2 linked regions of the Caenorhabditis elegans genome follow. The protein of the gene in region 2 interacts with the protein of the main gene of each other region in a pairwise test. Each region holds a gene or a part of one and is shown on either strand. Other genes may lie near its edges. The genes, in order: sdz-12 and mdt-27.

Region 1 (4,320 bases), on a different chromosome or scaffold from region 2:
ATAGGACACGTGAGATAGTTGGTCTGCATAGGAGCTGGAGAAGCGGCAGTTTCAGTTTCCAGATGACTTTTCATATGACTGACCAGGCTTCTTTGGTAATTGTATTTCGATCCGCAGAATTCGCAGGTGTACCTCTGAAATAGATAAGTTAGATAGAGTTAGATAGAGATAGATAGATTATGATGCCAAACGCTATCTATTAAGCACTAACGTCTTCGTAAGAAGACAGCCCAAGTCCACATTTGGTGTTCCGTATGTGATTGCTCAGAGATTTCTGAGAATGTAATTACTTGAACTGTTGCACCTTGCGCAATTCCTGAAAAAAAATGGATCCTTTATTAATTAATTTGTGAAAATTTTACAGTACCTGAGAATAAACTGGCACAAGAGCTTGAGCTTCAGGCAGGTCCATTGATAAGAGAGTAGAGGTGAAGGAATAAATGAACCCGCGCAGAGTGTTTTGGTGGGGCGCAATTATCGATTTGGCGCGCGGTATTGGCAGAGAGCAAATGGGAAGGAGAGTGAAGAAGATGTAGATAGAAAAAGAAACTATGCGTAGTTTGATCTACCAGTCCTGTATTCTGAAGACCAACTAATTGTTTGATTACTCCATAAAATCAGTGATCACGATAGAATAGGGTACTGTAGGTTACCGTAGTTATCAACAATTATCAGTTTCCTTCAAGGGCGAGAACGAGATTCATTGAGTACTTTTAACAAGAAAAAATATTAATTAAGCAGTAGAATCTTATCAATTAAGTTCCTATGCCACCAAAATCATGACTCGCAGTGATGATGTGCATGGTGAACACGATCTTATTTCCACATTCTGCTCCACAAATTGCACATTTGAATGGGCTTCCTGGCGCGTGAAGGGCGTTATGCATGATGCTCATTGTGGCATCGTGGAACTTGATCGTGCAGTGCTTGCATTCCTGAAGAGCTTTTGAGTTGATGAAAGTGTACTTTGAAACTTAAGAACTTACAAAGCTTGGGGTTGGCTCACTGGTAATTAGATTTCTAAACCTTGGCTCATTGGGGCTTAGAGTTGGTGAGAGCTGTTGATCAGTGTTTGGAAGAGTTGCCTGAAAATTTCAAGTCTAATGGTTTCAAAGAACGGCACCAAAACCAATATTGAAAATGAAAACATACCGAGTTCTGTTCACAGAATTCTTCGATCATCGGGGAAGTTCCTAGATTTATGCTCAATTTTTGAGGCGGCTTCTCTTGTGGCGAGATTGCCAACTGAGCTCTGGGACTTCCTGAAGTTGATACGGTGATAGGTGACAGTCTGGCGGAGCTTGTGGGAGCAGGAGCCGAAGAGCGCAGAGCCTGAAAGGATTGTTAAGTCTTAAAGAATTATAAAGCTTTTCACCTCTTTATGATCAAAATGGTAGTGTACCAGGAGATGCCTAGGACTCCCGAATAACTTGTGGCATTTTCCACACGGAGCCGATTCGCTGTATGAAAAGTGGTGATGGTTTACGAGATGATTTTCAACGCCCTCATAGAATACGAACTGCATTGAACAGTTCAACACGGGACAGTCGAAATGTGATCTTTCCTTGAGATGGTTGTGCAGGTGCCTTTGAAGCTGAAAATTACAAATTGCTGGAATTGAACAGGAAAAATGGAATAAAATCTGCTTGCCTGATCTTCCCTGAAGAATGTTCTCTGGCAAGTGCTGCACTTCTTGGATTTTGAACCAGAGTGAGTTATTTGATGACGCTTCAAGTTTGGCTTGTTGGTGAATTGTTTCTCACAATTTTCACATCTGAATTTGTGATTGACCTGAAAAAACGTATAGTTGGAGGAGGAGAAGCTCAGTGGCTTAAACATTTTCTCAAAAACTCACCACATTGGAACGTCCAGGCCTACACGTAATGTGCTTCATGTGCGTTCTCAGCGTTTTCTGAAAAATGGTAGTGAGCTCTATATACTAACTAGCAAAAAAAGGAAGATTATCTGCTGTACAGTAAATTTTGTAAAATTAAGATAAATTAACAACACTTTTTTGCTCACTTCAAAAACTAACCTGATTCGCGAACTTTCTTTTGCAAACTTGACACTGGGGCACCTTAGCAGAATCCTGATCCAAAGTGGAAGAGGTTGCAATAAGCGACAATACGGCGTCTAGTGATGACAAACTCATTTTCACAGAAGAAATCTCTGCGGATTGTCCGAGGGCAGGGAGGAAGGGGAGTGAGAAATGTTTTTGCGTAGTTGCAAAAAGAGGTACATAAGTTCAAAGACTGTGTCCTCGAAAGCTGTGAGAAGTTGCGTCACATATGACGTTGGGGCTTTTGGAGAAGCGGGGCCGACGAATTTATGAAATGTGTGTAATTGCACATTGTAGAGCTGATTGAGTTTTTCAGTATCTCAGTTTTTTCAGTAATTTCTCCATTGACGATGCACCTTCTTTGGGGGGAATATTGTAATCTTTAACAAAATTCACAACATTTTTGGAAGACCAGCTGCCAACTGTGCCAAATTTGCCGGGAAACGAGACGCTGCATTATGCATTATTTTATCGATCCACTAAGATTATCTCCTAGCGTTATTCACTCATAATCTGCCTCTACAAGTCTTCCTATTCGTCATTTTTCTGCAATTTAGTAGGTTAGTAGACATGCTCGTTATAACAAAGGAATTTGTGTCAACTTACACTATTAAAGCAATCTCCAACTTCAAGCCGGATACCACTTATTGCAGCGAGGTTAAAGAATATTACTATATTCCATGGTATTTTTAACTTTCCTTTTTTTATTTAAATTTTTATATTTCCAGGAAACTCCATGTCAATCGAAGAACTGATCAACTTGAGGTGTATCTTAGTTGCGACCAACTTGGCACAATTTGGTCAGTTCAGGCGAATGTTGAAGTGAAGCTTAGATCTCCCAATGAATCTCCCCACTGCAAAACAGCCACTGTAAATTTCAATAGTGAGAAGCCGAAGGAAAACTCATGGGGATGGAAGCAGTTTGCCGATTGGGAGAAAGTCGCAAAAAACTTTGTGATTGAAGATGCGCTACACTTTAAAGTTCATGTTCAAATATTGAACGCTTCTGGGTTCAAGGGAAGAGATCCGGTTTTGAAGTTCGACAATGAGTCTATGGGAGAGCTGTCCGATGTGGTTTTGGTAGTGGATGAGCAGAGATTTCATGTTCTGAGAAAGCATCTCGCTCTGCAGTGCTCCTACTTCAAATCCTTGTTCTTTGGCAGTTTCGGCGAGTCGAAGAAATCAGAGGTTACCCTCTCTGGGATAGACCCGGAAGCCTTCCAGGCATTTTTGGAAGTTCTCTATTTGGAGGACTCGATTGATGGTTAGTTTTTAGTGCTCACATTGGTAATAATTTAAAAATTTCAGACAATACCGTCGAAGGAATCCTTCAACTTGCTGACATGTACGATTCTAGAGCGGTTATTGGGAAATGCGAGAAATTTCTTTACAAGGAGTCCGAGAAGTCCGGGAAAAAGAAATTGGAATTGGCAATTAGATACAAGTTGGAGAAACTAGAGGTAAGTGCGTGCACCTGAATATAACCTTATTTTATCTTCCAGATTCACTGCTGCAACACCATCAAAACCATCCAAGATGTCCGCTCAATTATCGCTGGAAACATTGATGAAATGAGCCCATTCCTGATGAAGCGGGTCTTGAAGCGAGTTCTTGAAGTTTAAAAATTGTTCGTTTTCAAATATGAATTGCATTTTTCTAATAACTGATTTTTGGCCACTATTTTTTCTCTGTTTTCAATTGTAAAGTTTTATTTGCCAGTACAAAAAATAAATTTACGTTTTCTTTATATTATATTGATGAGAAAATTTGAAGACTTACAGAAGAAATTCAAATCATGAACCAGACCAAACCAGAAAAAGTCAAGTCAAGAATTCAAGAAACTTTTATCTAGCATTTCATAAAGTATTTTGATAAGACATATACATAGTTATATTTTGTGGAGTTTAAAAATATAGTTTTGAAAAGTGAAGTTCAAAAACATAGAAAAATAAGAAGTTAGAGGTTTCGAAAATAAGCTTAATTCGAAAGACTCGAAAAAAATCTCAAAAACTGGAAAAAATTGAAGATTTCAATCGTCGGACGGTGTTTGACAGTAACTCGTCGTCGTCGTCGTAAATAGAAGTAGTGTTGATTAGAAAAAACGATGGAATAAAGAAATCAGAACCTCCAAATAGAAAAAGTTCCATGAATGTTTTTAATTCGATAGGCACGCATGCCATGAACATCAGATTCCTCGGCTGAATTAGGCATTAGTAGCTCTGGGCTAGAGTGGGGATAATCATTGTAAATGTAGAAAATGA
Region 2 (6,904 bases):
ATAAATCAAAACAATGTTCGAAAACTGCTCTATCTGCCGAAAGGACCCAGTGGCTTGAAACGTAACTAGAGCCTACGGGTTGACGAAAGATAACATATTTTGAGGAGACGCAGAGAATCAGGGGTCTCTCCAATATATATTCTGTGAAAACAGCCGGAGAGAACACGGAGGGAGCAGAGATATGTGGTGGTGGTGGAGACGTACATCATTTGGAATAAACGACGTCTTCGACCTTGTTTGCATGAGTTTCCTATATTTTCGTACTTTCTATTTGATAACAAGCAAACATGGCTCTTCAATAGAAAAACCTCGTCATTCGAAACATTTTCAATATTTGAAAGGCTAACAGGAAAAAACGACGAAGATGAAATGAAATAAAAACGGAATGCTTCAACATGTGTCCCGACATGCACTGTCCCAGTCGACACAACAGATTGAAACAAAAGGAGAAAGAGCAAACAAGTTGTGCTCCTGCAAAATACATTTTTTCAATTGAGATGAATGGTCTGTATGATTTTATTGAACACATCAAAAAGCATTGAAAGAGACAAGGTGATGATGGTGAAGATCTGGCAAGAGACAAAAAAAACTAGGAATACTCTCGTAAAAGTGGGGAAAAATTCAAGAAAGTGGAAACAGTGGGGCCGTAGAAATGAAACAAGTTAAAGCGACACGCATGGAGCAAAAAGAATCTAACAAGTGTACTGAACTATGGAAATAAATTAATATTTTCAACAAAAAAAGCTAAGGGACCTGTGACATCAAACATAATTTATGGCAAATGATTGGAGACGATTCTCTCGTGACAACGGTTGGAGGCATAAACTGTCGCAGATGCTTTCTGAAAAAAAAAACTATTATTTTCAAAAAAACATGATTTATATTTAAAAAAAAATAAAACTTACTTGCAATAATAGCATTTAGTTGAGAAACAGTTCACATAAGACTGAATGTAATTGTTGCATTGGGCGAAGTTTGTGGGTGCACTGAAAATTAATCCAATAAATAAGAAAATTACCTTTTTTAAAAAAATAAATTTCGAGTTTTTTTCTAATTAAAAGATGATTTGGCATCGTTTTTTTGGCGAATAATAGTTTTTTTTTACTAAAAAATTACATCCAAAAATAAATTTCTATTAACAATAATGGAAAAATCTTAAAAGAAATTATTTAAAAAAAATGTTTTTCGAATTTGACAAAAATTTTTTTTATGTGGCTAATAAAAAAATGTAATGTGGTATTTTAGGAGAATTTCGAATCCACTTTAGATAGTTTTTAAAGATATAGATTTTTTATGCATTACACATATTTTATGCGAGCCAACCTTTCTTTATTTAAAATTCAAGAAATTTTTTGGAAATTGGCTTGTAATTTGTAAAACCGTTTTTTTTTAATATCTAAAATGGATTTCAAGCTTTTTTTAAAAATGTACTAGGCGCACAAAATTCATTTCCAAATATGTAGAAAATTGGGAATGTCTCGAAATTTCTCTAAACGAAAAAATGCTTAATATACAAATATTTTTCTATAAAGATTTCCAGTAATTCATGTTTTTTTAATTTTACATAATTTCGTTTAAAAATTTAAAACTTACGTAAACTTTGTAACTGGCGAGCAAAGTATAATCTCTTTGGCCGATTTTGTGAATTCTCTGTAGACTTTCCGTTTCGAATGTAGAATTTGTTCTTGATTGTATAAATCTTCATCTTCGCCTCCAATAATCATATCTTCGAGAATTCCATATTTGAGTACAATAACAGCTTTCATACACGGAACGAATTCTTTTTCACTATTTGGGCGCCGAGCACAGTAGTGAACCTGAATTAAAGCCATTTTACATTGGGAAACGGGAGTTGGTTTCGGGAATAAAGATTTTTGAAAAAGGTTTATATTTTTCTAAATTAGACTGGAAGAAAAACTCACTTCAATGAGACTTTTTGAATTCCTAAAACATGGATGACTGATTCTTTTGAATCTCCATGTCAAATCACCCCTCGTTTTATTCATAACAGCATCCATTGCTAAGAAAACTCCTTTATTCGCATCTTCAACGTGTTTCGAGAATTTCAAAGGTGGTGGGACAGATAATCTTGAGACTCTCGGAGCATGAACAGCGTTTTGACGAAATGTTTCTGACACAGCGATAATGTTTTTCTGAAATTAGAATGTAACGAATTCAGAGTATTTCCAAATATTACCTCAATAACTGTCCTCTCGTCCATTGCCTCTTGTAATTTGTAGAATAATTGATAAGCACTTTCATCTTTCTGTCTGAGATCCTGAAATTAAATATTTAAAGTTCCAAGTTGGCAAACGGTTTTTTTAAATAATTTATTCTCATTTAAAATGATGTCTTCGCAGAAAGAGTTAAAAATGAAAGAAAACAGTCTCCGTATAGTGAATATATTTGTTAAACAAATTATAGAATTTTTCTAAATTGTTGTAGAATTTGAAACATCGTTTGTCACATTTTCAGGGACTTTTCCACAATAAACGTTAAATTATCTATCTTTATACCAAAATTAGAGATTCAACAAATTTCTTGTTTTCTCAAGTTTTCCTTACTGTAAAATGTCTGAAAATTTGACAAAAATGTTTCAAATCACATCTTTAAAAAAAACGAATAAAAAACTAATCAATATATCCGGAAAATGCAAAAAAATCTGCTTTAAGTTATTCCGCTGAATTCTAAAATTCATCAGCTTATTTCAATTTTTTCGTTGAAAAAAAATTAGAACTTAACAATGTTATATTACTACATTGAGACTGTTTTTTTTTCCGTCACTTGTGTTAGGACAAAAAAAAAAGCTTAAAAAACTATAAATTATGACTTTTGAACTAAGAATCTTAATCATTAATCATTAAACTAAATTAATCAAAAACTCACTTGTATTGATGATTCAACAGCTTTATATAGAGGCCTTTTGTCAAATACAGCATTATATCGACATTTGAGTGCTGCTGCTCTATTCAATTCATAATACATATTTCCCATTTCTGATAATGCTTCTCTTGCTCTTGATAAATCTTCCATTGTCGAATGCTCTTTCATCGATTCGTCTAATGCTTTTTTCGACTTTTGACGCATTTTCTCCAATTTACTCTTCATCACTTCTGCCCATTGATTTAACGCAATTACGTGCTTCTCCGTTGTATTTGATGGAAGTGTTAAAATCGGTCGTCCAGCTGCCGGATTCCCTGCAGTTGAAGGTCGGTTAGCAGTGTTTCCAGATTGAAGAACAGGCATCGATTGAGAGTGAGGAATATTACCCGAAGAGATACGTGCTCCCGATGGTCCTGAAGCATTTGCAGATGTGGTCGGTTGCTGATTGGATTGCATGGCTGCCGGACGAAGTGGTCTCAAAATCCGGGCTCGACCGTCTATCTAAAAAATTTTCCGATTTATATTAATTAGTGCTGAATGAAATTGACAATTTTTTTCAAAATAAAGAAAACGGTGTATTATCTAAATTTTGAGATTGTGATTGAAATTAAAAGATAAATCAACACAATAAATAAAAAAGTTTAACTGAATTTTAATTGTTTTAAATAAAATTATGAAAAGAAAAAACAATAATATTTAATTTAAATGATCTATCTAACTGAAAACTAAATAGAAAAATGTTATCGATCAAATAGAAATATACATTAACTGTGAAAACACCATTTTCTGCAATAGGCAATATACGGTGTCTGCGTCTCTCACTTCTTCATTGCTGGTATACACTTTTCCAACGCTTCCCTACAACTGCATTAGTCTTGTTTTCAATAGAGCGCGTTTGATGAACTACTTCAGAGTGAGGGGATCGCAAATGACTTAATTTTGGTATAAACAAAATTCCAATGTTTATAAAAGCGATAAACAGCACGTGCCAAGATTTAAATAGTTACTTGAACTAATTTAGAATATCTTGTTTTTTTTTTTCAATTTTCAATCGAAATGAGGTAAATTAGTATAAAGAAAAATTGCTAAGAAGCACTAATCGAGATTTTTACAAAAAATCGATATGAATTAATTTGAAAATCTTGAAGCATGTTTTATTTTTGAAAAAAAATCTGCGCATTTCTCAAAGTTGTTTCAATGTTTGTGGAAAAAAGGGATCTTCAAGTTTTAGATGTAAAAACAAATCTTTTTTCTCACTTGGGTATAAACTTTTTTGTGGTTTTTAGTAAATTTCTACTAGCATCGTAACTTTAAACAATTCTATCACAAATTGTACTAGTTTTTAATTGTATTTTTTCCGACACTTTTCACAAATAGTGTTATTAAAGGGATCAACGTTTCCTATAATATAAAGTTTTAATTTATTTTTAGCAGCTAAATTTTGTCATTTATTATTATTATTTAAGTTGATTTTAAGAAAAAAATGACATTGACACAAACTTACTTTGCTAACAAGGGGCGGCCTTCGTCCAAAAGGAGTATCTGGGAATCTTCCATTTGCAGCCTGAACATTTTGAAAAATAAGGATTTTGAATCTGCGTGTTTCGAGTAATTTTTTCAAGCTAAACATATGCCGCAGTTTCCCCTGCCGAAAAAGATAATTGAGATCAAAATTTGTTTCAATATTCAGCTACCGTGGGGGCCAGTGAATTGTTAATTTTTTTTAATTATAAAAAAATTAAATGACAAAAACTATACCGTATTTCCGAACGAATTTTCGCTTTTTATCCGGATTGTATTGTCTCCCATTATCTGAACTCGCCAATTTTTTAAAACAATTTTTTTTTCAACAAAATAATGACTTGGCCCGGGGGAACAAAAAAAAACAACACTGAAACATATATTTTTTAATTATATAAAATTAATCAAAAGCTTTTATTTAAAAATCGAATGAACGATGAGTTGAAATTCGGAATGTAAAAACATAAAAAATAAAGCGTTTGTTGGTGCGATGCACATGTTTCAAGGTGAAAAATTGGCGGAAAAGCATATTTCAAGGGCATCATCGGACAAGAAAACGAGAGAAAACGGAACCGTGTGGGGGAAGGTGTACAAATATTTTAACATAGAGAATAGCAACAAAAAAGAAATAGATTAATATTCGACACTTTGGGAACACTTACATATTATACAGGCAAATCAATAGAAGCGAGATTGAGGTGTAAATTATGAAACAGAGATGATAAAAAGAAATTGGAAGACATGAGTAGATACACTCAAAATGTAAACGATCAAGCTGTGCAGACATTCGGAGTGAAGAAAGCAATTGGGAAGGATTTGATATGCGTCTGCCATTGTGGAGATGTTTGAAAGTATCTGATGCCATTGTAAGCATTTCCATCGATGATAACTGAAAATAAATCTGCTTATTTTACAGCTCAAAACAAAAAAAAACGAACCAGTCAATTCATTGTGCTTTCCGGTAGCACTGCAAAGCATTCTTCCAATAGAAGATACTTGAGATGGAGCAGCTCCTTCCTCTGGTTTCTGCTTTTGTCCTTTCTTCATTCCCAGTTTTTGTAGCATTTTGTCTTTCCTTTTTTCTTTTAAATAGGTAAGACTCAATGAACCAGAACTTGGAGATCTCGACACAAGCAGTGTTTTGAAATGAGCTTTAATTGTGACCTTGGCTGTATCTTTTTTAGAATTCGGAGTTGTATTCGAAGATGATGGAGGGAAATCAGAGCCGTACGAGTATTGTGATGATTGCGGAACGGGATTATTCGGCCAGAAATCCATATTAAGTTCTTGGCCATCGACGTTTCGAAGTTGTGGAGAATGAGGTGGAGACGATCCATCAGTTTTCGATATAACCGACTCTTCTCGTGGAGAAATTACAGTTTGTGCGAATCCATTGAGTCCATTTGAGTCATCATCATTTTCAATTTCACACTGTTGACTTCCGACACGAACTTCACTGAGGAAAGGTAAAAACACACGTCCACCTTCAGGATCGCGATCAGCAGTCAATTGAAGCATAGCTTCGCCTATTGGCATATTCATCTTTGACGAGCTGACACTATTTGGCCAAGCAGCAATTTTATTAGCCAATGAAGTTTTTTCTGGCAATGTCATGTCTCCAAAACGATCCCAGAGATCTCTGCATAAATTGTCGAGTTGTGGATCGATCCCTGGAAATAACAAGCAATATATTAGAATAAAAGAAAATTTGAAAATACCTTCGATCATCTTATAAAATAGAGAGCTCGTCGACGGGATGGCCACGAATCGGAGATGATTGACGAGATTGGCGAGCGATTTATGGGCCAGACACTCCACATAAGCTTTAACGACTTGTGAGAAGAGTTTGTCAGTTCCGATGATTCCAACGATTGTCAACGGAGGATTTGATGAGTTGGAGTGGCAGCTGGAATTATAAGCTCATATTATAGAATGAAATGAGAAAGAAACACTCACAAATTTTGAATACGATTTATAACATGGCTCAGCGTCTGTCTAACTTGCGAAAATGAAGGGCAGTTTACAATAGGTACTGGACCACCCAGTATCGAATATGCAGGCCATTCTGATAAATTACACAACCAAACAGCATCACTTCCTTCAGGAGACATGCTCGATCCAAGAATGGAGCATAATTGTTCTGACAAGCTCACTCCTCGATGAACTCCGTGATCATTTTTTATTGAATTGAGAGTCGAGGAATGTGGCATCGAATGTGAATCAAATGATGATGATACAACGCGTATTCCGGCAGAACGCACAGGTGTCTGAAAAATGTTATTAAAAATGAAATCAGTTAAATAACAATTACCTGAACTGAATAGTCTGGATGACCGGAACCAATCGAATCCTTCTGAATTAATCGGTGTCGCGCGACGTTTTCTTTAGTATTATCTCCATCAGAATTCCATCCTCCTTCACCATGATCCCCTTCTCCGTCAGAAACTTCATACATTGCAGCAAGATGATCGTTCTTCTCTTTAGAATCAAAAAATGGTGC

The links.
Region 1: the proteins of mdt-27 (region 2) and sdz-12 interact in a two-hybrid assay, tested with the Caenorhabditis elegans proteins (one large-scale study listed by BioGRID).

What each region holds. Positions count from the first base shown.
Region 1 is NC_003280.10:3,729,397-3,733,716, forward strand, and holds sdz-12 (Zinc finger protein sdz-12), read right to left. Parts: upstream 2,428-4,320; 5' UTR 2,153-2,427; coding exon 2,036-2,152; intron 1,913-2,035; coding exon 1,856-1,912; intron 1,792-1,855; coding exon 1,651-1,791; intron 1,595-1,650; coding exon 1,376-1,594; intron 1,333-1,375; coding exon 1,153-1,332; intron 1,086-1,152; coding exon 987-1,085; intron 936-986; coding exon 756-935; downstream 1-755. Other genes in the region: bath-31 (BTB domain-containing protein), read left to right, coding at 2,630-2,742, 2,788-3,323, 3,368-3,519, 3,562-3,681. UniProt on the Caenorhabditis elegans protein: Together with ehn-3, may play a role in gonadogenesis.
Region 2 is NC_003283.11:9,208,960-9,215,863, forward strand, and holds mdt-27 (MeDiaTor), read right to left. Parts: upstream 4,696-6,904; 5' UTR 4,693-4,695; coding exon 4,642-4,692; intron 4,448-4,641; coding exon 4,388-4,447; intron 3,385-4,387; coding exon 2,887-3,384; intron 2,279-2,886; coding exon 2,198-2,278; intron 2,154-2,197; coding exon 1,923-2,153; intron 1,818-1,922; coding exon 1,594-1,817; intron 987-1,593; coding exon 906-986; intron 842-905; coding exon 745-841; 3' UTR 504-744; downstream 1-503. Other genes in the region: pacs-1 (Phosphofurin acidic cluster sorting protein 2), read right to left, coding at 5,175-5,293, 5,343-6,074, 6,123-6,310, 6,361-6,671, 6,716-6,904.